4 linked regions of the Pelodiscus sinensis genome follow. The protein of the gene in region 2 purifies or fractionates together with the protein of the main gene of each other region. This does not show direct contact. Links are inferred from orthologs where the notes say so. Each region holds a gene or a part of one and is shown on either strand. Other genes may lie near its edges. The genes, in order: NHERF2, PHLPP1, WDR48 and SUGT1.

Evidence for each region.
Region 1: the proteins of PHLPP1 (region 2) and NHERF2 purify together in Homo sapiens (affinity purification with mass spectrometry; 3 studies listed by BioGRID and IntAct, with this or other methods). This does not show direct contact. The link is inferred for Pelodiscus sinensis from reciprocal best matches to the Homo sapiens genes PHLPP1 and NHERF2.
Region 3: the proteins of PHLPP1 (region 2) and WDR48 purify together in Homo sapiens (affinity purification with mass spectrometry; 5 studies listed by BioGRID and IntAct, with this or other methods). This does not show direct contact. The link is inferred for Pelodiscus sinensis from reciprocal best matches to the Homo sapiens genes PHLPP1 and WDR48.
Region 4: the proteins of PHLPP1 (region 2) and SUGT1 purify together in Homo sapiens (affinity purification with mass spectrometry; 5 studies listed by BioGRID and IntAct, with this or other methods). This does not show direct contact. The link is inferred for Pelodiscus sinensis from reciprocal best matches to the Homo sapiens genes PHLPP1 and SUGT1.

Annotation. Positions count from the first base shown.
Region 1 is NC_134726.1:37,832,154-37,840,167, forward strand, and holds the start of NHERF2 (Na(+)/H(+) exchange regulatory cofactor NHE-RF2), read left to right. Parts: upstream 1-4,895; 5' UTR 4,896-5,293; coding exon 5,294-5,503; intron 5,504-8,014.
Region 2 is NC_134712.1:118,352,516-118,359,994, reverse strand, and holds the start of PHLPP1 (PH domain leucine-rich repeat-containing protein phosphatase 1), read left to right. Parts: upstream 1-4,215; 5' UTR 4,216-4,904; coding exon 4,905-6,393; intron 6,394-7,479. UniProt on the Homo sapiens protein: Protein phosphatase involved in regulation of Akt and PKC signaling.
Region 3 is NC_134712.1:246,546,591-246,553,745, forward strand, and holds the start of WDR48 (WD repeat-containing protein 48), read left to right. Parts: upstream 1-3,845; 5' UTR 3,846-3,947; coding exon 3,948-3,995; intron 3,996-7,155. UniProt on the Homo sapiens protein: Regulator of deubiquitinating complexes, which acts as a strong activator of USP1, USP12 and USP46. Enhances the USP1-mediated deubiquitination of FANCD2; USP1 being almost inactive by itself.
Region 4 is NC_134711.1:283,823,517-283,831,311, reverse strand, and holds the start of SUGT1 (protein SGT1 homolog), read left to right. Parts: upstream 1-4,659; 5' UTR 4,660-4,745; coding exon 4,746-4,777; intron 4,778-4,858; coding exon 4,859-4,904; intron 4,905-7,795. UniProt on the Homo sapiens protein: May play a role in ubiquitination and subsequent proteasomal degradation of target proteins.

The sequences.
Region 1 (8,014 bases), on a different chromosome or scaffold from region 2:
TACATCTGAGTCCTCTTGATTCCACCTCTTTGGGAGGACAGGGATGCGAGGGAGTTATGTGAACTTTTATTTCTGCCAAAGCGAGTATCAAAAGAAGGCAACAGACAGTCACTGCACTGTCAACATTTTTCAAGCAAGCTTCTGTCTTAAGAGACCATCCTTAGCTCCTCTCAGAGATATATTCCTATGCTGCCTTTTTCAGGAACCACTGAACACACTGATTTTTGCTGATCCCTGGAGTAGTCGCTTACGATGGGCTAAGCTGTATATCGTGTAGAAAGCCTGTCCAAGAGTTCTGATATTGGAAAGTGTCAGGCTTTTTATCCTGGATGTCTGATGCATTCATTATGCAATATTCTAAACCGCAGTGCAAACTGAGTTTAGCACATGGGTAAAAGTAAGTGCCTAATGAATTGCGATACATGAATTATAAATAAACCTGTTTGCTTTGAAGCAGATGTCAAATAAAACAGGTTCCAAATTCTGCTGAGCCAAATAGCATACATCTACCGTGAACTTCCCCACCTCATGCAGAACTTAAATATTTATCCATATCCGAGCCCCTAGAAATTAAAATGCAGAACTCCAGCTGGGCTCTGGCCCATTCATTGTGGTGCCGTTATATTCAATTCAGTAAAGGTAGCAATTGCAGTGGGTGGGTGTGGTTTGTTTTTTTATGGAGATGCGGAGGGTAGGTGTGTGTGTGGGGGGGGGAGGATGTAAAACGTGTTTGAAACCCAGCTTTAGGTTGAACCTCTTTGGTTCAGCAACCTCCGTGGTCCGGCATGGTTTTAGTGAGCCGGATGTCCACTTACTGTGGATGTGGCCAAGTTTCCCACAGTCCCATAAAGTTTGTTTCCTGCCACCAATCCTGGCTCTCAGTGTCCTGTGCTGGTCTTTAGTTCTAATTGAGCCCAAAATGTCTTCTAAGAGCCCAGCAAGCAGAAGGGATGTCAAAATGTGTATAAGTCATCGTGATACCACAGAAAATTCCAGCAGTTACATGCAGGGTGGCGGTCAGCTTCCCGGGAGCCGGTGTGTGTGGGGAGCTAACTTTTAAGCCAGCTCTCCAGGCATACTAGCTCCCACCTGTCCTGCCATGCTGCTGCCTCTGATACAGATGCAGTGGGCGGAGGGGGGAGGCAGCTTCCTAGGAGCCAGATGCATGTGATTACACTTTCACATCCCTAGTAAGCAGGGGAAGTGTAGGTAATGCTGCTAGACAATACTGACCTCCCATAGTCCAGCAAATTCTCTGGTTTGGCACCGGTCAGGTCCTCCGGGTGCCGGACTAGAGAGGTTCAACCTGTATTACCGCTAAGCACTTTGCAAGAGCTGCTTGCGAGGGGAGGTAATTCTTTCCATGCGGTGTTAAGATGGTCATGGATGCAGGAATGTTTTCAGGCTTTTTTCCAGCTCCTCGAGAAAGATGGGAACCTTTCCCGCCCATCACAGCGCAGGCTGTACCAAACCTGTGTTCCCAACAATCCTCGTGGGCTGTAGAATCCTCCCCTGCAGGTGAGAGTTTACCAGGGCAGAAGAAAAGGGGCAGCCAGGGAACAGGTGAGCACTTGGGCCATTCCTAAATGCAAAGGAGGAAGGAATGGTCAGCCCTAATCTAGCAAGTTATTTAGGCAGATGCTTAACTTAAGCGAATGAAGTCAGTGGAGCCATGCAGATATGGATCGAGTTAGGCACATGAACAAGTAGTTTCCTGAATTGGGGCCTGACCCAAGTCCTCAATTCACAAGAAATTCTTCCTCCCTGTGCTACCTGCACCCAGCCTGGACCAGCAGCCAACAGTAAAGCGAGATCTGCAAGAAGGTACCTCGTGTTTTGGGCAAGGTCATCCCTGATGTAGAAACAAGGAAGGGGAGCGGCCTAGAAACAGGGCAGGTTCCTGCACGTGTACTCCTAGGAGACGTCCCGACCTGGGTTAAGATTACATACTGGCAGGTGTGTTTCAAAATCTGTGGCTCTGGTATTAGCCAGGTTGTTGGATGACAACACATCATCAAGCCCGAGGGAGGCTCAGGGAAGCCCTCATGTGACACAGCAAATGGAGGAGCCCCCACATTTTGAATACCCCACACAGATGTGGTTGCCTCATCTCAAAGAAAGATATATTGGAATTGGAGAAGCTTCAGAAAAGGGCAACAAAAATGATTGGGGCGTATGGAACGGCTTCCGTCTGAGGAGAGATTAATAAGATTGGGACTTTTCAGCTTGGAAAAGAGCTATCTAAGGGGGATATGACTGAGGTCTATAAAATTGTGACTGGTGTGGAGAAAGTAACTAAGGAAGTGTATTCACTCCTTCTTGTTACACAGGAACTAGGATTCACCAAATAAAATTAATAGGCAGCAAAACAAAGAAAAGAAAGTATTTCTTCACACAAGGCACAGTCAACCGGTGGAACTCCTTGCCACAGGATGTTGTGAAGGCCAAGACTACAAGAGGGTTCAAAATAGAGCTAGATACGTTCATGGAGGTTAGGTCCGTCAATGGCTATTAGCCAGGATGGGCAGGAATGGTGTCCCAAGTCTCTTTGTCAGAAGCTGAGAATAGGCGATAGGGGAGGGATCACGTGATGATTCCCTGTTCTGTTCATTCCCTCTGGGACACCTGGCCTTGGCCACTGCTGGAAATCAGGAGCCTGGGCTGGATGGACCTTTGGACAGACCCAGGGTGGCCGTTCTTATGACTCTCTCTGGCCTCCTTCCACATCACCCGATGGCTTTGTGCAAGCAGGCAGAGACCTGTTGTTTTGCATAGCTGCTGCTAATTACAGAGCAGCCAGGTCTGATGGCAAGCTGGCATACTGCCAGAGGTCTGATGCATTTCACAGCTTAAAATTCTCCCACAAAGACCAATGACGGGCTGATCCCTGGGCTTGGGAACTGAAACCAGCTGCCCTTGTTTCCTTTCGGCTGGCAACAGGTAACCTCGCCAAAGGCAGCGGCGGGTAATAATTTTTGAAGGGGGGGGGCACTTCACAAATTTCTGAAGTGGTTGTGGGTCATCCTGGAAGGGGCGGGGCCTCAGGTGGAAGGGGCGGGGCCAGACTTCCCAGGTTCCCCTGCCCACAGACCTTGATTGGCCTGGGAAGTCATCCCCCCCCTTTCCACTCGGTGCCTAGAGAAAACTGCCAGCTGAACAGCTGGTCGTTCACACTAGGTGCTGTGGGTGGAGGGAGACTTTGCATGCTCCCTCGCCCCCAGGCCAATCAGGGCTTAGGTGCATGGGAGCATGGGAAGTCTCTCGCCTCCTGCCCCCACCCTGCCAGGGGCACACGGTGCCTAGAGGGAACTGTTTTGGCCAGCTAGTGGTTCCCTCTGGGGCTGTGTGCGTCTGGCGGGGGAAGGAGATTTCACGTACTCCCCTGTCCCCGGGTTTCCATTGGCCTGGGAGCGGCAGGGCGGCTGCCGACCGGATCAACCAGCTTGGCGGGCTGGATCTGGCCCATGGAGGCTGGCTGGATCTGGCCCGCAGAGGCTGTCTTGCCCACCCCTGACCTCAGGCCATTACGCACCTACCGCAGGGCTGAGCAGAATGCGATTCGTTGCCACATTATTTCCTTGGAAAGTTACCACAAGATCTGAAGTGAGATAAGGGATCTGCATTGGCAGCCTTGAGCCAGAATACTAATGTAATGTATTCCTAGAGAGAAACTTCCCCCCCTCTAGGCATCGCTCTACCTTTCCCCTGCTACACCCCATCAGTGTGATATCCCAGGCCTCTTCCTGGGTGGTGTGGAGAGGGCCGATAAAGAAAAGTTATTTATTAGTTCCCTAAATAGAAGAACTAGAGGACACCAAATGAAGTTAATGGGGAGCAGGTTTAAAAGTAATAAAAAGAAAGTTCTTCACACAGCATGTAGTCAACCTGTGGAACTCCTTGCCAGAGAAGGCGGTGAAGGCTAGGACTATAATAGAGTTTAAAGAGAAGCTGGATAAATTCATGGAGGTTAGGTCCATAAAAGGCTATTAGCCAGGGGATAAAATGGTGTCCTTGGCCTCTGTTTGTCAGAGGCTGGAGAGGGATGGCAGAAGACAAATCGCTGATCATTGTCTTTGGTCCACCCTCTCTGGGGCACCTGGTGCTGGCCACTGTCAGCAGACAGGCTACTGCGCTAGATGGACCTTTGGTCTGACCCAGTACGGCCGTTCTTATGTTCCTCCAAGGTGATTGGGCGGTAACTGCCCTCAAATTAATAGATGTTTAGAGGACGTCAGCGTGCTATAAGGTCAGCTGTCCTACCTCAGTGACAAGACAAATAAATGAGCCGGGGCCAAGAGATCCTCTTAGTATCTGGCCAAAAGGATTTTTTTAAGGCCTGATTCAACCACCCCCACTAACGTCCATGGGGAATCACCCTACAAACCCATTATTTTATTTTCTTATTTACCACCAGTGTGAGGACTTGTGCTCCCATTCTTTGCACTGGGAACTCACTGCGCTGTGCTTGCCCGTATGTTCGATTTCCTCCCTGGGCGTGCATTTGGGCGTCCCGCTTGGACTGGTTTAACCGGTTCTGGATGGCACATCTATGCCTGGCAAAGGGCTGCAAGGAACCATCCCCCACAAAGTGGCTTTCAAAGACGCAGTGACCAGCCGGGCCCTGGCCATATCTTGCCTCCATGTTACACGCCCTGGGGTGAGACCTTCCTAGATGTCCTACACAATGCGTGTGTGTGTGGGGGGGAAGGAAGGGGGAATAGCACCAATGCCAGCTGCATGTGCTGGGCTGTGGCTGGGTTATGTTGTTCGGGGGCGAGTGTATAATCAGGAGACACACACCCATTCCCGCAGCAGCCAGCTCTGGAAGGTTCCGGGTTGCATTCGGGGGAGGGGCAATGGCCACAGCTGGCCTCCAAGCTCTTCCCCCGGCTGCAATGTCACGGAGAGCCGCGCGGAGGAGGCGCTGCAGCCCCAGTAGCGGCGGCGGGCACGGGCCGGAGCAGGCAGGCAGGCAGCGGCGGGGCTGCAGCGAGGGGGTGCGCCGCGGCGCAGAGCGCACGGGGGGAGTTTGGCGCAGCGCAGGGCGCACAGGACGCAGGATGGCCCCGCTTGGCGGCGGCAGCAGCAGCAGCCCGGCTCCTGTCTCTACGCTGCGCTGCGCGTAAGGGGCCCGGCTCTCCAGGCGCCCCGGGAGAAGCGCAGGCAGGGGGCGCGCCCGGCAGCTGCCGCCACTTGTTGATCCAGCCGGGACCCCGCTGCCCGGCGCCTCCGGCCGCTGCGCGCCGGGCACCCAGGTTCCCCGAGGGGCGCTCGCCCCGGCAGGGCCCCAGCCATGGCCAAGGACCAGCTGAAGCCCCGGCTGTGCCACATGCTCAAGGGGGAGAGCGGCTACGGCTTCCACCTGCACGGCGAGAAGGGCAAGAGCGGCCAGTTCATCCGCAAAGTGGAGCCCGGCTCCCCGGCCGAGGCGGCGGCGCTGCGCGCTGGGGACCGGGTGGTGGAGGTGAACGGGGTCAACGTGGAGAAGGAGACGCACCACCAGGTGGGCAGGGCTGCCGGGGGGGCCGGGCGGGGGGGCCCGGGGAGGGTCGGTCAGTCTGTACTGGGGCAGGAGGGGGTGTGCTGGGGACCGTCTGTCTGTCTGTACGTGGGCGATGGGGCATAAGGCGCCGGGGGACGGTTTGTCTGTCTGTACTGGGGTGGAGGTGTGTGCGCCCGGGAATGTCTGTCTGTCCGTCCATGAGCGCTGGGGAGTAGGGTGCCAGGGGCCGGTTTGTCTGTCTGCCTGTGTTGGAGCTGGGGGGCCCGGGGGCTGTCTGTCTGCACTGGGGAGTTGCCCGGGGAATGTCTGTCTGTCTGTGGGCACTGGGGCAGCGGGCGCCCAGGAACAGTCAGCCCATGCTAGTGGAGAGGTGGCACCCTGGAACCGTCGTCCGTCTGTCTGTGCTGGGACAGAAGGTGTCCTTAGTCTGTCTATCTGTGCCCAGTTGAGCGCTGGAGAAGGGGGCTGTCTGGATGGAAGGTCAGTCTGATAAGGATGTAATAGTGCAGTCGATTAACTGATTAACCAATAAGCAAAAGCTTCTAGGTCAATGCTATCGACTACCCGCATTCTCCCCTCCACCCCCACCAGTACAGTTTTTAGCAGGCTGGCCAGCAGCCTGGCTCATGCCAGGTCCGGGACCTACCCCCGCTGCAGCTCTGCATTTAAAGTGTAGTAGGAGCCAGGTGGACAGGCAGCCCGGCTCAGTTCCAGCTCGTGCCGGGTCTGGGAGCTCAGCCCTCCCTCTGGACAGGGTGCTCCCCTCGTGGACCAGCCTCATAAACTGGCTCCCCTCACGGACAAGCCCCTGTCTGGCATGTGACGGGGGGGCTCCTTGGGAGTGGGGCTGGAGCGTGCTGGCTGCCAGCCCCATCCCCAAGGACTATAGAATAACGGAGTAACCGATAAGAATTCATGAGTTGAATTGACTGTTAAATTAACCGGCATTTAACATCCCTACAGTCTGACTCTAGAGCTAGAAGAAGTCCCGCCAGGTGACAGTCCATCCTGGGGTGGGCAGTCCGGTTGTTGGCTAGCGGGTTTCATCTGGAGGTTGAGAGCAGGGAAACCAGAGTGACATGGAAAACCTTGTCATCTGCTGTGTCCGTGTCTCCTGCCAGTGGAAAGAGGTGCCCTCGGCTTGGGTCATTCACTTGTTTCCTCTAATTCCTGGGCTTCACATGCTCCCTGCTGTGCTTGTGCCCACTTCTTTGGTTTTATATTCCGAGAGGTGAGAGTCAGGAAAGTCCTAGCAAGTCGCATCAAGCCCAGCCTGGCCAGGGCAGGATGCTCTCTACAGTGTATTTCCTATTGCTGTGTCCAGGCTGGCAAGAAGCCCTTTTTGTTCATCCATAAAACCCCACGTTCTGTAGAGCCCCCCCGCCAGCCGCTCCCCATTGGGCCACCGTGTGCTATTTTCCTTCCGGGGATCTGTCCGCGTTCAGTTTGGTCGCCAAAGCTGCGTGCACTCACAATCCGACTGAGTCGCTTCCCCTGAGCTGCTTCTCTGCTGGATTCTCCAGGCGCGTGTCCAAGTGAAACCAGCGTGATGGAAAGTGTGCGTCTCTTTTTGGGTGATGGTTCCTGAACCTCCAGGCCAGCAGGGTAATCCGCTGGGAGACAAGCAGTTTATGGGGAATAAGATCCTTGTTGGGGCAGGAACCAGCACGCTAAGCCTGCTGAGTCGCTTCTTGTGTCCGCACATGGAGTGCTTTTTCAGCTTGTTGGCTGTAGCCGAGCAGAACTATTTACGTATGCCCGAAACAGCCTTCATTTGCCCTGCTGCCAGGATTCCCGGCTCCTCTGGTGGTGTTGGTGGCGAGAGCGTACGAAAGGTGAAAGAGAGCTAGCAGGGTGATCCTCTCTGTGAATGTTTGTTTAAAAGCTTCCCTTTGGCAAGGAAGCAGCGGTAGATACTACAGGTTCCCGCACTATAAATAGGTTCCCGCACTATTCCAGGCCTTCCCCATGCAGGGATGTTGTCTTACCATGCTGCGGCACCAGATAACTTTCAACAATGACAGTGGTTGGCCTTGTCTGCATTGGCCAGGTAGGAAAGACCAAAGGATGCGATGACATTGGCAGGACGTTGCTGTTACGTAGTCAGCCATTGCGTTGTCAGGGCACACGTTCCAGCAGAAAGTAGCTTCTGAGGACAGGGCAAGAAGCAGTGGGCTTAAATTGCAGCAAGGAAGATTTAGGTTGGACACTAAAAGCTTCCTGAGTGTCAGGGTGGTGAAGCACTGGAATAAATTGCTCAGGGAGGCCGTGGAATCTCCATCACTGGAGATTTTTAAGAGCGTTAGACAGAAACCTGTCTAGATAACACTCCAGCCTTGAGTGCAGGGGACTGGACTAGATGTCCACTTGAGGTCCCTTCCATTCTTAGGATTCTAGGGGTCTGAGCATAACACACAGTCAACCTGTGGAACTCCCTGCCCAAGGATGTTGTGAAGGGCAGGACTTTAACAGGGTTCAGAAAAGAGCTAGCTAGGTCCATGGATGACTAAT
Region 2 (7,479 bases):
TGGGAAATAAACCCTAAGAAGAACAGTATGGTTTGCTAAAGGTGCAAACATGAGTCTGAATGTTCAAAGTTAAATTACAGTAAAAAAAAAATATGGGGAAAACCCAATTGGTGAAATTCACTTCCTCACCTCAATTCAAAGTAATCAGACTTTATACAAGTGAAGTGTGGGGATGAAGGGTCAGAACAGTCACTTTCTCATCAAAATTCAAAAAATGTGAAAGCCCACAGGCATGATTCTTCTTTGCCCTCAGAGATCACATAGTGCTAGGGAACTTGTGTTTGTCTTTTGCAACTGAGTGAATTTTATGAGTGGTAACCTAAACAACTTTAACTTTAATCCACTAGACCCTGGTAGTTTGCTGCTGTGAGACAGATGGGTGCATGGTGCACCTCATTTTAAGTACCACAATAAAGTAAAGTCAGCCTATGAACAAGGGGAACGTATCATATTCAATCACTACTCAGTTAACAGACTTGTTTTATTTATGGATTTGAGTATTTCTGTGAGCAGAGTTATGAGCTGAATTCACAGCTAATGTGAATTAGCATTGCTTCACAGATGCTAATGGAACTATGCCATTTCACACCAGCTGAGAATCTGAACTGAGGATGTTTGGATGACGGTAGGCATGCATATGCACACTACCTAATACTGGATTGTCTAATGCTGGATGTTATGGATTCTAGTGTATACTTAATTTTGAACTTCCGGGTATTCTAATATTTGTTCTCTTTGAGAAAACTGGTGGTTCCCCCTTTAGATAAATATTTACAAGCTTAAACTGAGTCTGCAAAGGATTTTCTGGAAGATTCCTTTCCTTTTAAAAAGCCTTAATACTAAGTGACAACAGTCTCTTTGGAACTTTGTTTCCCTCTTGCTTGCATCAAGACAGGATCATCCTGCCCTGCTTCCTATGTCTTTCTCTCTTTTCCTCTGGCTCCCCAGACAAATACCCCATATACAGGCCTGCCCATGGGGGGAGAGGGGGATTAAAAGGGGCAGATGACTTGGGGCCTGGTGATTGAAAGAGGCCTGGGGCTCCTGGCTGCTGCTACTGTGGCAGTGGCAGCAGCTAGAGTCTTGGGCCTTTTAATTGGCCACTGGAGCAGTGCTCTGCTCAGCTCTGAGGATTGGAGGAGGGGCACAGGGACTGGCTGATCCTGGCACTGCCTCCCTGGCCTAAGGCCCCACCCCTTCCAGGAGCACGGAGCTGGCGCTGCCCACACCTTGCCCAGGGGCCCACAAGAGCTGTTGGTGCCCCTGCCCTTATACCCCAAGCTATCCCACCTCCCCCCCCCCCCACACACACCTGCTGCACTTCCGATTGGACAGTTTTTACTGGGGCTGTGCTGTCTTTGCAAGGCAGGGACTCAAACTTTTATCCTCACCTATCAAAAAAGTCAGAATGCTATTACCATCTGCAAAAAATTAAAAAAAATATTTAATGGTCCTGCAGCACCTCAGAGACTAACCAAAAATGTAAATAATGTCATGGGCTTTCATGGGCATAACCCACTTCTTCAGATGAATGGAGCAAGGGATCTAGATTAGGTACAGAGTTACAGACTAACACGGCTACCCCTCTGAGACCATCTGCAAAGATTATTGGGCCTAAAAACTTGGAGAAAAGAGATGATTAAGGAAATATATTCTAATTTGAATCCATAACTGTTATTTATTTTTATACTATTTTAGATCTTGTGTATAGTAAGAATAAAGCCTGATTCTCCTCTCACTTTAATTGGCTTAAATCAGATGAGGAGTAACTCTAGTTAAGAGGCATCACAATTGTGTAAAATCAGCAAAACTGACAAAAGAAAAATGTGCAAGGAAGTGGAGAATTAGCTTCATTTATGCTGCATATTGCCCCTTTCAAAGTGTAGTTTTTGGACATAAATCTGAGCCTTTAATGGCGGTGTACAGCATTCAACTGCTGTTAGTTTATGTTCTGGATGTGATTCTAGCTATCTAGCTTAGAAAGAATTCCAAAGATGCTTTTTGCTAGCAATTAGACATAAGGACATACCCAAGATTACGGCAGATTCAGAACACAGCAGTTCATTTACAGATCACTCTGTTCTAAAAGACAACAGTCTTCCGGTCAAAATAAATGTATGAGCATCCTTCAGACACATACAATAATTAAGATATATTTACATCATAAGTTCTTTAAAGAATATCTTGAGTGCTTTCTGTGAAAACAGCAGCACACTTTCCAGGATAAAGATGAGTATAATAATGTACAAATTGACATAGCCTGCCATTGTTGTGAGTGATGAACTTCATTGTTTCTTTTTACATTATGAATAAGTTTTTAAAAAATCACAAGTTTTAGAATAGGCCTCATAGTCAGTGTTGCTTTATTGATATCATCGTAGAGTTCTTAGTGGTGAAGATTTGTTTTTCTCCCTAAATGTTAGCTACTTGGTTAATTGCCAAAAGCAATTAGTTTAGTGCAGCCTGTAACATTTTTTACAAATATTTGGCAAAACATTTTACTGCAGCTTTACAAAATGTACCAAATGGGACAGATTTCAAGCAATTAGAAGCTGGTCCTGGGCATGCTACTCAGCTAAAACTCCCCCCTGACTGCAGGAGCAGTTTTGCCTAAATAAATATGGGATTGTGACCCTACAATATTAAAATGCATGGTTTCACATAGTTGTATATATTTACCAGATATTTACAATTTTAATCCATTATTTTATTTTGAATGACCTTTTTGGACAATTTTGCAGCATCATTCTTGCTATTGAGCATTTTTTAAAACAAAATATTTTCGCTTTCAGTGCTTGCAATGGTTTCCAGACCAACAACTGCTTTTGTGTGTACCAAATAGATCAGCTGTACAAGATTTGTTCACAATGTATGCCTGTTTCTCCATTCTGGTTCTGAAGAAGATGGTATCTCAGACTCTTAATAATTTGTTGGCCTCTTCACTGAAACAGTAAACAGGATTGCCATTTCAGATTTTTTAAATTTATGGAGATATGCTAAATCGAATTGTAAGATTGTTTCACATGGGTCCTGAAGAAGCTATTAGCTGGTGATTACTTTCTAAGGGTATGTCTACACTGCCACCCTAGTTAGAACTAGGGTGGCTAATGTAGGCATTCGAACTTGCACATGAAGCCCGGGATTTAAAGCCTACAGTGTAGATATAGCCCCCGTGTGTGGGTTACACCAGCATGGTGTACAGCCTCTCCCTGAGTTATGAATGAGTTACGGACCAAACACTTGGCCGTAACTCGATCCATTTGTAACTCGGACCCCATTGAGTTACACGCGACAGCGCTGTTTGTAAGCGTGGGTTGTGTTCGTAACTCAGGGACGCCTTTACGACCGCTCCATGGGCGCTTTGGTCGTAAGTGCGAACCGTCGTAACTCGACCGTTTGCAACTGGGGGAGCGGCTGTAAATGAGACAGGGTGGGGAGAGTGACAGATGGGGGATAGAATAAGTGGGCAGGGTGTGGCCTCAGGGCAGGAGCCAGGCAAGAGTGTTTGGTTTTGTGTGAGTAGAAAAGTCAGCAACCCCATTTAAAACTAATAGAAGGAGGTGCATATACAAGGGAGCTGTTCAACTAGGCAAGGTAGGAGAGTGCCAACTCCTCAGTCTGAGAAGTGGTGGGGGCTTGGCTGGAAAGGGTGGAGCTGGGGCAGCCAGTCCTCCGCATCTCCTGAAAAAGGATCCCCCTTCAGCCCCTTCCAGATTACACTGCCTGGAGCTCCAACTGCCCCAGCCTCTGTACCCTCTACAGTGGCAGGCCTGTGCACATAGATTTCATTATCAGTGCCTTGGGTCTCACAGGTTCCCCAGAACAGCCGGGTTAGAAAGCTCCAGATAAAACACAATCATGGGGTAAAAGGAAAAGTCCTCCCTAGATTTTAAAAGTAACGATGCAAGGTGAAGCGGCGGTGGTGAATGGCAAGTGACTGCTGGTGTTCCCTGGGGAGTTCTAGCTAGTCTCGTCTTTATTTGCGTTTTTAAAGTTCAGGGCAGTATCTGAGACTACGCTGATCTGCGCGCAGTGCATCTGGAGGAAGAGACGTTACAGTGATTTTGCCGACTGGAAAGGAAGGCAGCCAGGCCCATGACGCTGAGCAGGCCGTGGGCCGCTGCTCTAATCAAAAATTGTGGCGAACTTCAGGCTGGACTGAAATCCGCTGGGAGGACGCGAGGGTGACTGGGTCCGGGCGGCTGCCAGCTGCAGGGGACCCGCCCGGGCTGGGGCTGGGCCGGGCGCCGCGGGAGGGCAGGCGGGGCCCGAGCTCCGGGCACGCTGCAGTCGCGGCATCTGAGACAGGGACCCCGGCCCTGCCTTGGGGCAGTCCCAGGAGCAGGGGCGGGCGGACCGGGCGCGCGGCGGGGGACAAGAAGGCGGGAACCTCCCGTCGGAGGAAGAAAGGAGCAGAGGGCTGCTGGGATTTGTAGTCCGTGTGTGGGTGTATGGCCGATGGGAGCTGGCCGCGGACTCCATTTCCCAGAGTGCCTCGCTCGCCCCCTGCCGTCACCTTGAATTTTGTCATCGGAGCCCCGCCCCAGCGCGCCAGGGATGGCGTCAACCTGGGTCGAGTATGCATGAGCCCACCCCCTCCGCTCCTCCCTGGATGCTATTGTAAATAGAAGGTCGGGGTTACTTAATATTCATGAGGCTCCGAGGAGGGTAGGGGAGGGGGGAAGGCGGCTCCTCTCTCTGTCCCTAATGGCGCTCGCGACAGCTGTGGAGCGCGGCTGAGCCAAACGCGCGGCACGGAACGCGGCGGCACCGACCGACGGAATGCTCCCGATTGCTACATAATCCGCCTCTGGAACGCGGCGCCTTGCTCCGTTCTGTTCCCCGCCCCCCTCGCGCTAGCGGCGCTGCCCCGGGGAGGAGGCGGCATCCCCAACCCCCGGGCAATGGAGCCCGCGCAGCAGCGAGCGAGAGAAGCCCCGGTGGCGGCGCGGAGCAGCAGCGGGGAGCAACAGAGCACCTCCCCGGGCGAGAGGAGCCGGGTAACGCCGGGCACCGAGACCAGCGTGGAGCAATCGGGCGGCGCCGAGGCCGGGCATCTAGAAGGCAAAGTAGCCGGGGGGCCGGGGAGGAGGCGGGGGGCCGGAGGGGGCTTCGCTCCCCATTCTGCGCTGGTGGGCAACGGGACTCGGGCTGCTCCTAGCCGGGGCAGCAGCGCTAACTCCCTGCTGCTGCGAAGGGGGAGGCTGAAGAGGAATCTCTCTGCAGCCGCCGCCGTCGCCGCCTCCTCCTCCTCTCCGGCGGCTCCTGCCTCGCTGGGCACCCGCAGCCTGGATAGGAAAGCGCTGCTGCTGAAGCCGCCCCGGCAGTTGCAGCCACTGCAGCCCCCGGAGCGGGACTGGGTGCGGCGGGACCTGCAACGGGGCTGCGTCCATGTCTACGAGCGCCACATGTCCTACCTTCGCCCGGTGCTCTGCACACTGGAGACCACGGCGGCCGAGGTGGCGGCCCGGCTGCTGCAGCTTGGCCATAGGGGTGGCACCGGTGTGGTCCGGGTGTTGGGTAAGGCGAGCGTGCAGCCCCAGGAGGGAGCAGCAGCGTTCCCGGGGGAGACCTACTCCGGCACCGTGGCTGCAGTAGACCAGGACAGCCTGACGCCTCCCGGCCTCCCGCCTTCAAGGCAGCAGCGGCCAGAGCAAGATGAGAGGCCGAGAAGCCGCCGGGGAACCCGTCACGGGCTGGGCCGGCAATCGCCGGGGGACAACGGGGAGATAACCCGACCCAGCCGGCTGGCACTGAGCGGCAGCGCCGGGGAGAACAGCTGGACAGATCCTCGGCCGAGTCCCTCGTCCTCCGACTTCAGTCCCAGGGCGCCGCCGCCCGCCGAGCTGTACCTGGCTGGGCCGCCGCTATCCTGCCCCTCCCTCCTGGGCGAGCTGGGACTGGCCGGCTCCGACACCGAGAGCTTCAGCCTCAGCCCCAGCGCCGAGAGCGTCTCCGATCGCCTGGACCCCTACAGCAGCGGTGGCTCATCGTCCTCCGAGGAGCTGGAGGCGGATTCTGCTGCGCCAGCTGGGGAAGAGGCAGGTGTAGCGCCGGGCAGGAGCCATTATCGGCCGGGCGAATTCCCCTCCGTGCATCCCCCTTCGCGGGCAGGGCGTGCGGGGGAAGAGCCCCCCGGGGCAGGGATGGCTGCTGCAACCCCCGCCGGCTCCAAGGTGTTTCACTTGGGAGGAGAGGCTGGCGCCTCGTCTTCTCTGCCCCCGGCCTTGTACGTGCAGTTCCACGGGGAAACCAGCCGCCGCCTGGAGGCACAGGAGAAACCCCTGCAGATCCAGAACGATTACCTCTCCCAGCTGGGCTTCCGGGACCTGTGGAGAGTGCAGGAGGAGGGCATGGACTCCGAGACCGGCTGTCTTATTCGCTTCTATGCAGGTGAGCCAAGGAGTGTGTGTGAAACAGGGCTACCTGGGTGCAGGGCCAGCTCTGCCGGCTAGAAATACAGATGCTGACTTGTGTGTGTGTTTGGAGGTTAAATGTCTAAGGGGATAACAGATATCCCCAGGAGAGTTCCTTTTAAAACGGTGCACATCAACCAGTGGTGAACTATTCCTTACAATTGCACCAGTGATATGTTGGGGAGGCCTGTCTTTTTTACTTGTATTTATATAGGGCATCCAAAGTGCCCGATGCCGTACAAAAGACTCCATGTCTCTCTGGCCTAAAAATCTTAGGATCATTATCTTTCCTCCCGCTTATTTGCTTTGCCAAATTCTATGCCCAGGATTGTACGGAGGATATCCTTTTGGGAGAGAGAATGCCACTTATTAGGAAGATATGGATAATAGTAATGAGGGGGTTCGTTCTTTAGAGACATTGAGCTGAGTTTGTGATGACCTCAAGAACCGAAGGGTGACTTGCCTGCATGGGGCCAAGGTTACAGATCTCCTGAGGCATCTAGACAGACTTATGAGCAGTGCTGGTGAAATCCCCACCTAATAACCATGATTGATACTCTGTTATCATTTATGTGGCTAGATTTATGAAAACCCTCAGTCAGCTTTACCAAAAGCTCTTGTTATCCAAAACGCACAATATTTTATTGTATTCAGTGCTCCTGATGTTTTGGGTCATGAACATAGTACTGCAATGTTGAAGAGTTTTCCTCCTCTTAAGTGAGGAAAACTTAAGCATCTACATTTAAAGTTGTTAGACTTTCCAATATATTTTCTTCTGTCTTTGACAACTGTTAGGGCAAAGGTGGGGAGGGAAATTGTTTAAATATTTGGCTTTCAACTGTTTCTTAAAATGTGAGGCTGAGGGCAGGGCTGCATACAGATATGCAGTAAAGATGGATCTTTAAAATTCAACTGCTTTAGGCTTGAGACTGTATGGGTAGCACCAGTAGTTCCTATGAGTTGACAAGTGCATATTGCTGGAAGGTAAATGCTGTATTTACATTTTAAAAATGTGTTAAAAGCCTCTGCAACTGTTTGAGCAGTTCTGTCTGCATTGAAAGAA
Region 3 (7,155 bases), about 130 Mb from region 2:
GCTTGCCAGATGCAGGAAAAATGTAGAGAAAAACATAGATGCATCTTGCATTCACTGGCCTGACAAAAGCTTTTGACTCCAACAGAGAAGCACTGTGGAAAAATCCTTCTGACCTATGGATGTCCACCAAAATTTGTCACCATTCTTCATCTCTTTCACAATGACATGGAAGCAACAGATCTTTTTATGGCAAAGACAGGCATTTAACAGGGGTTGTTTCACTGCCCTGACGCTCTTCTCCACCTTCCTCACTGTGATGCTCTATTTGATAACTGGCAAGATGGTAAGCTGTTCAACCTGGACTGCTTCCAATCCAGAACCAAAACATCACCAACCTTAGTGGCTGAGCTTCAATATGCTGACAATATTATAGAGTGGGCTCATTTGGCTTTGCTGATGCATATCAGACTCTCAGCATACAGTAGAAAAAGGTCCTCTATCAGCAAGCTTCTACTGCACAACTGCCAGCACCAGAAATACATGATAACCTTCTAGAGACCATTGCGTATTCCCATTCTTGGAAGCCACTCTCACAGGCAGCTGACATTGAAAAAGAAATCCAGGATCAGCTCAAATGTGCTAGTTGAGCATCTGGTCATCTGAGAATAAGAGTGGTCGAAGGTTGCAACATCAGAATTAAAACCAGACTTATGATTTACAAAGCTGTTGTAATCCCCATCATGTTGTAAAGGGCTGAAACATGGACAACATAGGGAACATCTTAAGGCTTTAGAGAAGTATCATCACACTGTATGCAAATGATTATTCAAATTAAATGGGCTGTTAGATGTATTAACATTAATATCCTCCCACAAGCAGATATCACAAGTATCAAGGCAATAATTATCTATCATCAACTTCACTGGCAAGTCATTGTGTTTGGATTCCTGAAGAAGTTTTCTATTTTCAACTCAGCCACGGCAAACATGCTAGAGGAGGTCAGAAAAATCACTACAGAGATATCCTCAAGGCTAATGTGGGGAAATGTAATTCATGGTAACATATAGCTCAGGGCTGACAAAGATAGAGGAATTGCTTAAGGCAAGGAACTTGGCACTTTGATAACCAGATGCAACTACATATAACTGATAGAAAAACAGAAACCAACATCTAGTTCAGAAATACATGTCTGCAATATGGCAGAGTCTGTGGCTCTAGAATACATCAATTTCTACATCTTTTTTTTATATTATGTTATGAAAGATGCATATAAGTGTTAGTTATTACAGTTTGTGCTATGCATTAGGAATGTAAAAAAGAAAAACTGTCATGGCATAAGAGAAACCCTGTCTGGGAATATTTTGAAGTTATTCCTTCTCTGAACAAAAAAGAAAAAATGTGTCAAATGTCAGCAGTGCAAGGAGATGCAGGGCCCCCTTACAAGAATGAAACATCATGCGGAAAACTACTAACTGGGAGAAAATAATGTGGATGAAGAACAATGTTGATCAACTGGTTAATAATTTAAATAACTCACTTTGCAACACATCACTCTTCAATACTCCTGCTATGCCAGTGTGTGATTTAACAAGTAATTCCCAAGCTGTTTGCTATGTTGGACATTGCTACAAAAAAAGTTTAGCTTAGCTAATCTTTATGGCTTGTTTAATTAGTTAACCATGTAGTGAAAAATGTATCCCTCAAGTAGGCAGTACAGAAAAATGCAGCAAAAGAAATCTAGAGTTGTCAGTAGAAACTGAGCGCAATTTTCTTATTTTATATTACCTAACACATTCCCCATAATTTGGAACATTACGGCCACAGACCATAATGGCGATGTTGTAAGTCTATTTTCTATTTTACTTCAGCAAAACTAAGCTTTCCCAAGGGAACCCCATCTAATACTTGCTTTCTTAAAAATCAGAAATGTCAGTGAGTTCAATGGGGCATACTCCAAAATTAAGTGCACTCTAAGGCTACGTCTACACTGGCCCCTTTTCCGAAAGGGGCATGCTAATTTCACAGGTCGTAATAGGGAAATGCGCGGGGGATTTAAATATCCCCCGCGGCATTTAAATAAAAATGTCCGCCGCTTTTTTCCGGCTTTTAGAAAAGCCGGAAAAGAGCGTCTACACTGGCCCCGATCCTCCGGAAAAAAGCCCTTTTCCGGAGGATCTCTTATTCTTATACTTCGAAGTAGGAATAAGAGATCCTCCGGAAAAGGGCTTTTTTCCGGAGGATCGGGGCCAGTGTAGACGCTCTTTTCCGGCTTTTCTAAAAGCCGGAAAAAAGCGGCGGACATTTTTATTTAAATGCCGCGGGGGATATTTAAATCCCCCGCGCATTTCCCTATTACGACCTGTGAAATTAGCATGCCCCTTTCGGAAAAAGGGCCAGTGTAGACGAACCCTTAGGGTATGACAGCTGCTGCTGTCTATCCTCTAGGGTTCGAATTAGTGGATCTAGTGAAGATATGCTAATTCCAACTGAAAGAGGTGCTCTGGTCGATGCTGGTAGTTTTGCTTCCTCAAGGAGTAAGGGAAGTTGAAGGGAGAGTGCAGGAAGTAAAAGAGAGCAGTGTGGACAGAGCCAAAAGTTAAGGTACTTCAACTTCAATTACGTAATTAATGTAACTTAAGTTGAATATCTTAATCCAGCTTTACCCTGTAGTGTAGACATACCGTAAGTCAGAGGTGGGCAATAATTTTTCATGGGGCCACTCCAAGAATTTGGAAAGTGGTCAAGGGACGTATTCTTCCATGATATTAATGGAGGAGGTGCATGGTCTGGGATGGAGGTTAGGTGCAAAAGGGACCTTGGGTAAGGAAGGGAGTTTGGGTGAAGGAGACAGTTGTAACTGGGGGCACTGGACTGAGGTACAGGGGGTTGGATTGTGACCTAGGGCAGGGAATTGGGGTACATAAGTGGGTGCAGGGTTGTGAGCTAGGGCAGGAGAGGCCTGTTAAAGCCTCTACAAACTCACATGAAAATGACACCTGCTGTGGATTTTCCAGTTTCAAAAGTATTTCCCACGACCATTAGTAATCCAGCAATGCAAGCTTCTAGCGTACTTCTCTGTAGTGATTCTCTCATTCTGGTATCCCTGTGCCAGAGAGAGCTTGGAAAAACGGATACAAAAATGTCACCTTTCATATTTGAAAATTCTGCCAAACCTGCATTATGACACGATCGAACCACTCAGTGCTCCCAAACCCAGAAACAATGGTCCCGCCATCTCCTGCGGCTTTGTACACACCAGCAACAACCTTCTATTGTTTTTCACTACTTCAAGTATCGGGCCTCAAAAATCCCATTCGTATGGTTCCTTCCTGCAGGCTTGCAAATTACAGGAGAGTTTTTCATCCTGTATTTGCAAGGCTCACAGGATTCGTGTGGGCTCCCTGCTTCTGTCAGAGACAGCAGACAGGGAGAGGAGACGGTGGCCTTGAGGATCTGGGGGCAGGGAACTTGGCCAAAGGGCACTGCGAGAAGACGGTCAGGGACAGGGAGGGGAGGCAGCCTCAGGTCTGGAGGCAGGCACGTGGCCTCAGGGTAGTGAGACGGGAGGCACAAAGCAGCCACACGGCACCACCAAGGGAGGTGGGGGTGAAGGGCACAGTGAGGGGGCAGCACGGCCATGATGGGCCGAGTCCCAGGAAGGCGCAGGGCCTGAGGGCACAGAGGAAGGGGCAAGCGGGCGTGGCAGGCAGAGGGATGCAGGCACCAAGCCCACGCGGGGAAGGGCACGAGGCCTCAGGGAACGTTGAAGGGGCGAGTATCCGAGCCCTCCGTCGGGCGGGGCAGCCTAACGCTCTCCCGTCCGCGAGACTCCCCCCTGAGGAGCGCGCGGGAGTCGGGCGGTTGACGTCTGGCCCAACTCCCTGCCCCGCTTCCCGCGAGCTCCCTCCACAGCCCAGCGCCCTAGCGCGGGTCCAACGTTCGGCGGGGCGGGACTTCCGGGTCGCTTTGCCCTCTTCGGAAATGACGTTGGCGTGTCAACATGCAAGATGGCGGCGCATCACCGACAGAATGCGGCCGGGCGCCGGAAAGTGCAGGTGAGAGGTCTGCTGGGCTGCCCGCCGGCGCGGGGTTGTGGCGCGGCTGAGGGGCTCGCGGAAGAGGGGGCGCGGGCCGAGAGCGGGCGAGCACCTGGGAAGGGCGGTTGGGCTGGGGGCGGGGCGCCGCAGGTGAAGGAGCGGGACTGCGAGCGCGGGAGGCGGTGTAGGGAACTGGGGCGGGGGGAGGAGCCGGGCTAGTGTCGGTCGCGAGGGCTCACTTCTTTCCCTGGGTGTCGCCTGGGGCAGCTGCTGCTGGACCTGGGGAGGAACAGGCTACTTCTCTGGTGCTGAGAGCAGGGAGAGAGCCCAGGGGAGACCCTCCCCAGCCTCGCCCACGGCCGCTGGGAGTCTCGGCGCCTGTCAGTATTAGACATAAAATAATGAAGCAAAATGGGACTAAAACACGTCCCATGTACTTGTCAGCGGAATCTGCCCTTGCGCTCCACCTGTGCCTAAGCACTGGCCCTTGAGGCTCTGGCAGCGTGGGTGCTTCCTTAGGGACATAAGGATCTGCCTTAACTGTGTCAGACTCTTCGTATGGAATCGGCCGTAGTACTTGCTCAGCTTTAATTCCTGAACTGTTTTTAAAGTGAGAACATGCTTCAGTTATCCCATTGTGTCTACACTATTTTTCAGCCTGGTATGTTTGGGGCATACAGGATCCTGCTTGGAGGAGGAGGAGGAATTGATGTGCGCGTGAAAGAGATAAATGTTTTGATGATCTTCCTGGGGATGGATCCTTTTGATGAAATCTATGCAAAACAAACCTTTCTCAACAGTGAAAGTAAAAATGAAGCACAGTGGATATTATGTTCCTTCATTTTGCTTTGGTCTAGTGTAAACGTTCTTAATTTCATTTTAATTATAAATGTCAGTACAGACAGGGTGGTATAGGGGATTCTTGATGTAAATAGCAACCTATCATTGGTGGTCAGTTCAAATTAGAGATGTTGCAGTTTACCCGGCTAACTGTTTAACTGATAAGAGGATGCCAGTTGAGTGTGGTTAGTTTACTGTAGTGGCTACTGCTTTAGAACTGGTTGGACACCATAGGTTTACTGGGTCCTCCACTGCAGACAGACTACTCTCATCCCCTGAAAGTGGAGGTTTTTTTCAGCTCAGGGTATAATTAACATAGACAACTTAAAGCAGTGGTAACCAACTAGTTGATCATGATCAAGTGGTCAATTGCAGAGGCCCTGCCAGTTGATTTCAATGCAGTGTTCCTAGCCCCCTTATTTCCCCCAACCCACAACAAGGCACTTGTGCTGGCGCTACAGCCTCCTGCCCCTCCCAAAATTGGAGCCAAAGTTGGCTTCCTGTGGTGGAAGGGAAGGAGGAGAGAATTCCCGCAGCTCTGCACCAGATCCGGCTTCTCAGGAAGCTCAAGTACACTGCTCCTCCCCACTCCACAGCAGTGCATGTGCTTTCTTGTCTTGCCTTCCTTCCCCCGTGTACCAGGGAGGCAGAGTCAGGCATGGGGGAAGTTTAAGATGGCAGTGGAGGACCCAGAGCGGCTGGATTTTTTTAAAGGAGCCGCACGTGCACTTCTTCTAGCACTACCTACAGATCCTACCTGAGAGATGCTCATCCCTGGAGACCCCCAGGTCCAGCCAAGCTGCCCTTGACCCCTCTCCCTTGGCCAGACACCCACCAGCATCCTGCCCCAGCCTGTAGTGCCAGCACCCTGTTCCAGCTCCTCCTTCCTGGCCAGACACCTACTATCAGCTTGCTCAAGTACCCTACTTTCCACCCAGATTCTGTACCCTCATCCCTACCCCACTCACTGGCAGCTCTGTCCCACACACTGGATCCCTCATTTTTGGCCCGATCTCAGAGCCTTGGGGGACCCCACAAAATTCACTAACCCTGGACCCCCAGAAGAATTAATCTGTCCTGGGACCTTGAACCTCAGTCCTCCCCCCCCCCCCCCCCCACCGCTATTACCACCATGGGGCTGGAGTGTCAGGAGACTGAGGTATCTTAGTTGGGGCCACATCAGTGAGGGTTGTGGCTTTTTGGAGGTGTTGTTTTTTTGCATCTCACTTCTGTGGTCCCCAACTGATTTTTCTGAGGATCAGTGGCCCCCTGACCCAAAACATGTTCCCTGCCCCTCCCATAAAAAAAGATAATGTTGAAATGTTTTGTGTTGGCCATAATAGTTTATTTAAAAATGAAGCCTGGCCAGCAAGCTCCCAGTTGGGGTCAAATCCTCATCTGGCCTCAGTATCATAACACCCCTGCACCCGCCCACAGGGGAGCCGGTCATACACCTGAACCCCGTGCCCTGAGCCCCCCACATCCCCAGTCTTGTGCCACAACAGTCCTGCACCATCCACACACTGCAATTCTGAGCCTATCATACACGCAACCCTCCTGCCTTGAGCCCCTCATAAACCCCAACCCGAACTTCTGCACCCTGATATCCACAAGTCTGCAGTTTACTCAGCACCCCAACTCTTCACCTGACTCCAACAGTCTCCAGTCTGGAGCCCTGTCCCCGATCTAGCATCTTAGTCTCCACTCCTCCTGCATCCAAATTCCCTCCCAGAGCTTACACCTCTCACCCCTTCCCACACACTAATCCCTCATTCCTACCCCAGAGCCTGCACCTCCTGTCTCAACCCAGTGGGAGTGAGTAAGGACTGGGGACAGCAAGTGATGGAGAGGGTGGGGCCTCAAGGAAAGGGTAGGGTCTTGAGGAATGGATGGTGTAGATCTTGGCTTGCCCTGACATTTAAAAAGTGATCTTGTGTGTAAAAAGGTTGGAGATCACTGACTTAAAGGGTTCAGAAACCATGACTGAGGTCCAAAAAACCAAGATCAGAGATGAAAAAAGAATGCTTTCTCTCTGAATACTAGTGAGAGAAAGAGAGAATTTGCTAAACTTTTTTAATAATAAGAAACTTAAAGTTTTAAAGTGTGATTTTTTTTTTCATGATTCTAAGAGCTGAAGCTTTCAGAAAAACAACAGAAATTGTGAGACTCATAATGAAATCATGAAGTGATAACATTTCATAAGAACAGAGCTGAGGAAGTGTTACTCAGGAAGCATGCAATTACTACTACTTTAGTAAAACATATTCTGTGAATAAACAGAGAATGTTACATGCACACTAAATTCAGAGCTAAGGGCTTGTCCATGTTAGGAGGGTTT
Region 4 (7,795 bases), on a different chromosome or scaffold from region 2:
GTGCGTGCTAATTGTACACAGCACTGACAGAGTTGTGCGCTCCCTTTACATCCAATCAAAGCGCTGCTTCTGTCAGCACAACCTGCAAATTCTTGGTACACAAGCACAGTTAACAAAACTACCCTATCCTGGAAGACTGTCTTGGTTACAACAATCTTGCGGCCCACTGAGATGAAGGCCTACTCCTGCAGATCACTCACTAGCCTAGGTTGCTCATTGCTACACTGGAAGTTCCTGGGAAGAATTACTCAGTCCACTGCTAAAACTGTCCACCATGTGTCAAATGGATGTTTCTGATAGCGTTTTGAAATTCATTTGTTGACCCTTCCACTTCATATTGTACTTTTTGTTTCAGTCATCTGAAGGATTATTGAATTATCTAAAAATCTGTATTTCTGTTGAATCAGGAACATCAAGCTTTTGAGGAGCATTTTTGGTAGATTTAAACAATTTGTGTATCATTGCATTTATATCAGTTCTTTGTATTCTGTTACATTTGCAGATATGACATTGGGGCATTAGTATATTTTTGATTGCACATGTCTTTGCTTATTACCAAACTAAACAAACAAAATATTGGGCATATGAGAAAAGTTCTTAAAGTTTAAATTGCATATCTTCATATTTAAGATATAAACTTTTGGTTCTTGAGAAATACCAATGATTCATTTTTAGTTTTTTCTCCAAGATGAATGTCTAGAATTGGTCAAAAAACACATTTAAAATATTCTTGAAAATTTTGATTAGCTTTTTAAAAAAACGGAATTGTAATTGTTTTTACCTGTTCAATGAATGACCATAAAGGTTCATTTCATTTGGATTACATCATAAATGTACACAGCAATGAACATTGCACTACTGTAGTTCCTTGAATGCCTCCCTCACAACCCACCGCCCCCCCCAAACACAGTCCTAGTCCCTCCCCCGGGACTTGCTGCGTTCCCCCCCCAACAGTTCCAGCTCCTCCTCCAGGCCCATTGCCCCCAAGAACAGTCCCAGTCCCTCCCCTGAGCCTCGCCAGAAGGCCCAAGCCCCATCCCCGCCCACGTCTGACGCGTGGTATGGAGGCCGCTCCCCGCCGGGCACCGGCCGCCTCCGGTACTGAGCAAGCAGGAACTCTGAGCCAGTGCGACCTCACGTGGCATGTACCTGGGGGAGGGGGAGCGCACGAACCCGCCACAGCCAATTACAGCATGCACCACTGCGCAGTGCAGCAGCATCTGCTTGCCTGGCACCTGCCGCCTCTTGCAGCTCCCCTACCCCCTCTGCCAGCCGGTAGCAATGAGGCAGGCAGCCCGGGAAGTGGTTCAAGGCACCGCAGTCTGCATGCAAAGGGGCCATGAGCTGCATGCTGAGTAACAGTATTACATGATGAGGATGGAGAAAAAACACCTATCTATCTGCTCAAAATGGATGCTCATCTGGATGCAGTGGAGTCTGCAGTCCACCAGTGGAATGCCTATCAGGTATGCAGCATTCCTGAAACATGCATGGTAACTGGCTTTGAATGCAAGGAAGACCTATGCTATGTAAAAGATCACCATAAAGATTCCACTGAGGTCTCCAAATTGAACCACCAGGCAAAAGCAGCAGCACTCCTGGGAGAAGAACATCTGTATACCTTAACACCTTCCTTGCCTATGATGAAGAACCAGAAGCCAGACATTGAGCTATGTGCCTAGGTAGACATCAGGAAGTTGCAACAGTGGTACCCAGATGTGCAAGGCCTTCTGAAGAAGGAAGAATGCAAGGGCTATGAGACATTCAAGGATAAATGTCTGATCCTAGCCTTATAGAAGAATTTTGAAGGGGCCCTCCTGGTCTTGGTGCTTCCATTGTACCTCCATAAGGAGATGGTAATCCTTGTCCAGCAACAGGGTCACTTTAGCACAGACAAGACAGAGAATAGGACTGTCCATGTTGCCTGGTGGCCAAACTTAGAATAAAGATGTGGCTATGGACATCCACTGCTGCTTCAGTTCTGCTGAAAACAATCACAGATAGCCACAATTTAAAAGGCCCATTGTAAGCTGAAGACCTATGGTACTAGATGCAAACAGACTTTATTGGAACTCTCCCTCACACTGGCTGTGAGAATCGGTATTGTCTAGCAGTGATCAGTATATTCTCCAAATGGATTGAGGCCTATCCTACAAATTTCACAGATCCTGGTCCTCTTAAACAAGACCTTTTCCCCAGTTCTCTGTGCAGTCACTGACTCAGGTCAAGGACCATACTTAGTATATGAGATAACTAGGATTCTTTGCCAGGCTTTTGGGCTCAGGCAGAGATTCAGGGTAGCTGATCATCCTCATAGCTCATACTCCCCTTAGTCCACATGGCAGAAAGGTCAACTGTGGCAAGTCCTGGCTTCACCCCCCAGGAAAACATGACAGGCAGGACAATGACAACAGCCAATCCCTAGATGAGTACCAACCTTGGTTAACTCCAGACAAATCTGAGAAAAAACTTGGCAAATATCAGTGCCATATTGTGATGGGGTGTGGTCACAGAAGATCCCTAGGGACTGTTTCCCAGTTTGCTGATAACGCCACTGACTATTACCTTCTTGCTCTTTGGGGCTCCCCACCACTCTATCCTGCTGTGCTGGATCCTCTGGTCTCCCTCAAACAAGGCACAGAATTTGGTTACCACCCTCCTGGAAAGAATGCAGAGACTGAACCACTTTAACTCTGGGAGATTTAATTCTAGGGCACAGCACCCAAACCCCAAATAGATCAAAACTCCAAATAAATCTGTCTTTCTCTGTGTAAAGTTTTACACTAGGAAAGCTCATGAGGATAGTCAGCTTCCCTTTCAATGAGAGATGCACACTGGTCATTCCCTCCAGGTAACGATTCTTTACTCTAGGCCTGATAGTAAAATGTTTTCATCAAGTACAAACAGTAGGATTTAAGTGGTTATAAATGAAAACAGACAGCTCAAATTAAGTTACTAAATTAAAAGGAACTGCATAGCTAATTCTAATTCACTAAAAAACTTACTGCAGATTCTTACCCTAAAGAGCTGTTCTTATTTCAGGCATAATCGTCAGGTCAGAGACTCTTTTACCCTGACTTGGGTCTCCAACCTTTTGTATCTTTTTAGGGTTTTCCAGGCCAGCTGAAGATAAAGGGCTTCCAGTTCTCATTGCTTAAATAGACTTTTCCCAAAGGAGGGAACCTGTTGTTCTGGCCCCCCATGGAAAAATACCAGGATCAAAATAGAATCCCAGTACCAGGTGGTATGGTCACATCTGTTCCTAGGACCAACCACTGCTTAAACTTACAAACAAGGTTATTTATAAGTAATTAAATTGATCATCATATCATTAAGGCTTGGGGGGAACTCTCACTGGCCAATTTAAAATGATAAAGTCTCATAGTTCCTATTTCTAACTTCACATATACGAATGATCAGGGCTCCATGATCCCAGCGAAAACCACTCGCCAGCCCCGCACTGTGCATGTGCGAGACTCGCGCTGTGCATGCGTGGACCGCCTGCAAATGGGGTGACTGGCTGAAATCTACTCACCAGGGGTGAGTAGATAAGCGTAGTTGTAGAGCCCTGAGAATGATAGTTGCCCCAAAATAAGATGTACAGATCCAGCTGATCATAACATTACCAGGTTATATGAGGTATTTTGTCCAAAGCATCTCCGAGTTATGAGTACTTCTATTCAGCAGTCTGGCCTTTCTCCTGTTGCTGCCCGAGGGAAGACTCAAACCGGTTTGGTGGAATGAGTACCTGAGTCTGAATTACTGCTCCTCTGAACGACAAGAGTATGAACTGGGGTGTATGAAAAGCTACAGCCACTCATCTGGGAAAGCCGGCATGCTGCTGCCCAAGTGGTGCAGGTTAGTTAGCAAATACTTCTACAGCTGCTGCTTGCTAAACTATCAGGCAAGAGCAAGCAAGGGCTGTGCACCCGCTGACTCAGGAAGAGAAAGCTCAGGCGGCCCTGCTTCAGTGGAGGAACCCAGCCCGGGCCGGGGGCAGTCCTCCTATTGGGCTAAGCCACGGCGTCTCAAACTTCATGACCCCACAGCGCTCATCGGACAACTCTTATTACCCGACACCAAGAGGGGGCAACTGAAGCCTGAGTCTGGGCCAAGCTCTGCTGCCCTGGGTGGCAGAGAAAAAGCCAAAGTCTAAGCCCCTCTGCACCGGCAGGCTTCATCCTCCCCAGCAAGGGGCTTGGTCCCAGCAGGTCTAGGTCAGCCCTGGTGCCCCTCCCCAGTGAGGGGTGTGTGACCAGAGGCCGCTCAGGGAGAGAGGGAACAGGCTGTTGAGTTTCCACGGGTGGCGCATGGAACCAATCGCAGGGCGCCCACGGATGGAAAAGACGAGAAGGAACATTGGTCCTGGCCCGCTTTTCGAGAGCGGCGGGAAAGGCCTGGGTAGGCCCCGCGGAGGCCCGTTCCGTTGCCATGCCAGCCACGGCGGGGAGGGGCAGGAGCGGGATGTGCCGCCTCCCGCGCGGGGGAGGTGTTTTACCAACAGGGCGTTCTCCCCCGCGTGCTGGCTACCAACGTAAGGCGGCGGGCGGGTGCCGAGCGCGTCGGCTTCGTCACGTGCCCCCCCCTCCGCGGCAGTTACTGGAGGAACGGGCGTGACGTCACCCCAACCTTGAGTCCCATCAGCCCCTGCGTGAACGCGCGCCGCTGGTTCCCCCTTGGGCGGGTTTGTTGTTGCTCAGATCGCGAAGGCCGCTGGTGGAGGCGGCGGCGGCGGCGGCGGCAGGATGGCGGCGGCCTTGGACCCGGCCCGTCCGCGGTGAGTCTTTCTCCCCCGCCACGTTTCGCGGCCTTGGCCGCAGCCGCCTCTAACCGCGCTGCTGTGTTGTTCCCTCGCCAGGTTCCCGGACGAAGACATCGAGCAGGACCCGGGGGCGGCGGCGCAGGTGAGAGGCCAGGCGGGAGGGCGGGCGGGTGAGTGAGAGGGACTCGCGGGGCGGGGCAGCGTGTTCGGCCCCTCTGGGTCTGCCCGTGTCTCAGCGGGTGGAAGCGCAGGTTGGACCCGAGCCGCAGCCCCGGCCGGGCGCTCGGCCATGTGGCTCCGAGGTGCGGCGCGCTGGGCGCAGTTCAGTAGTTCCGTTCCCTGGACTTTTTCTGCTTAAATGACACTAATGCCGGTGCAGATTCAAGTTCGCGTCTCTGTTACAGCTCCCGTGAGAAACCCTCCGCCCACTTTGGGAGCTAACGCACCCAGCCCCAGAGTGCCTGCAACGTAGACATGTCATAGAGTTTGGGAAACTGAGGCAGGCAGTGCCCAAACGACTCTCCAGCAGCCTCGCCGAGTTAGTGTTGGGGCTGGAATAAGAATCTAAATTTCGTGACCTCGTTTTCCCTCTATTGCTAGACCACAGTGTTTCTTCAGAGGGTTGTTTGTTATGGGAGAGTGCCCCAAAAGCTATTTTCAGCACTAGCATTTTTATAAGGTGCCAACTATGTGTGCTAAGTGTATTATAAGCAATGATAAAACCAGATCCCAAGTCTCAGTAGACTGCAGTTTAAATGGCGTACAGATGAGGTGTGGTTGGCAGCAAAGGATGCAGCGTGACAGAGCGATGGAGTTTTATACGTTTTATGCATGACTATAATAGTTTTTAGTTACTTTTAGTCTACACCATCACCACTTATTTGAAAGGAGATATTTGCATTAGGTTATTTTGGAAGAAATGATTTTCTGACGAGAGGATAGATGCGTATTAGGCAGTAAAGGAATAGATTTCAGGTTTTGGAAGCGCACTGTTTCGAAACAGTTATGCCTAGTTACCACTGGCAATAAAAGTTTTATACATCTTCTGTATATATTTTAGTTATAAGCATATATTAGAGTGAAAGGAGCATCTGGCATCTATTATCCAAAGCTCCATGTCTGCTTACACTTTAACATGTGCATAAATTACACAGTTCCTTTGGAGTGGGATTACTCACATTACTATATAAATGTAAGATGTGCAAAGATCTAGGTCCAAATTTGTAACTAGTAATGTTGTTCATGTGTCTACACAGTAAGATGAATATTTTTACTCCAGATGCTAATCATGTATTTCCTTGGTTGTCACAAGGCTGCCTCTTTTAATTTAGATACTTGTATAGCAAAGGAGTCTATATTAACTGAATAACTACTCAAAAGCATTTGAAAGCAAATAACTGTCTCTGTCCTGAGCCTCTTAGAGAAATGGTATAATTAGTTAATTTTGTTATATTTATGCAGATAATTTTGTCACTTGTGAGGAACATATTGAGGAGAGAGCCATGTCAAAGGAGTATATTTTGAATTTAGTTTTGAAAATCTTGTCACTCTTGTAGATTTTCTGTAGTCCATGACTTTTTTTCTTTGTGTGGAAGATCTGCAGTGCTTGTAAGTCTCCTACTTCTGATCTACACTTTCAGAATTAGGGTACATCTACACTGCAACATTATTTTGAAATAACTAGTGCTATTCCAAAATAACTTAGCCCACATCTTCACAACAGGCAGTTATTTTGAAATAGTGTCAAAGTACTGTCAAGCTGGAAGCCTTCTTACTCTATCTCCTGTAACCCTCATTGTACAAGGAGTAAGGGAAGTCGGCAGAATAGTGCTCTATTTCAGAATAAGTGCTGTGTAGGTGCTCCCTATTTTGGAATAAGCTATTTCGACATAAAATATGCAATTGACATCTCAATTTGCGTACCTTATTTCAATTAAGCCCTGCAGTGTAGACACACTCTTAAGAGTCGACTGTACCTGCTATGGGAAGTAGGGATGTAAGCAGTTGTCCCCTGTCCCCTCCCGCTTGCTCCCTCTATCAGAGAGAGGCAGGGGGGGGGGGGGGGGGGGAAGCAGGATCCATTGCTGGAAGGAATTTTCTTAAAAGCTGGTTCACCTCAGCGCTGTATCTGTAGGGAGAAGGGACAGGAGTGCAGTGGGGAACTGGCAGCACTTCCACTTTTGAAAGGTTTCAAAAGCAAAGTGTGGCTGGGAGCGGGGATCAGTGGCCAGTGGGGACTGTTTGAGTCCTCAGCTCGCTCCAGGTTCTCCAAAGCACTTTTGCTTTTGACATCTCAATTCTACGTTTCAAAGGTAGAAGCACCGTTATCGAATAATCGTTGCAAGTTACGTTGATTATTCTATTAGTTGATTAATCTGAATTTAACATCCTTAAATGGGAAGTCAAGTAGATGTAGAAAGAGGCAATTTCGCAAGTTGCTAGAGGGCTTTGAGTGTCAGTACAGGCACACTGAATTGTAGTTTCTATTGACTGTCTTTTGAGTATGGGGCACGAAGGACCAGGGTGATTGGTTCAGAAATATATAGCTACAGAAACATATAGCTAAGCAATCAGACTGTTACATCTTGTAGATGCTGGAGGTTTTTCAGTGTGTGTATTCATTCCTAGGCATTTTATCCGGGAAGGGTGGGAGAATACCTCTTACAGTTATAAATGCTTTCAAGGCTGCTACTTTAGTCTCAGGATGGCATTCATGTAACCAGGTCAAATTCTTATTTATTTCTGTAATGTGTTTGGTCTGTCCTCCTTTCTCCTGGCTCTCTTTGTTGAAATATAAGAGTTCATTGCCACATGTTCTACTCTGTGTTCATGTCCTCTGAATACTGTTCCATGTTGAGGTACTATAGGTAGTTAAAAAAACAAGAACAAATTTTTTTTTTTAAATACTGGGAGTCCATAGCAGAAGTGACAAAATAACCAGCAAAGAGCTAGCGTATTTTATGCATGGTACTGGCTGGTTTAAATTCTGCCAAAGGACTCTTGATCCACTTGCTATTGATGAGATTTCTGCTT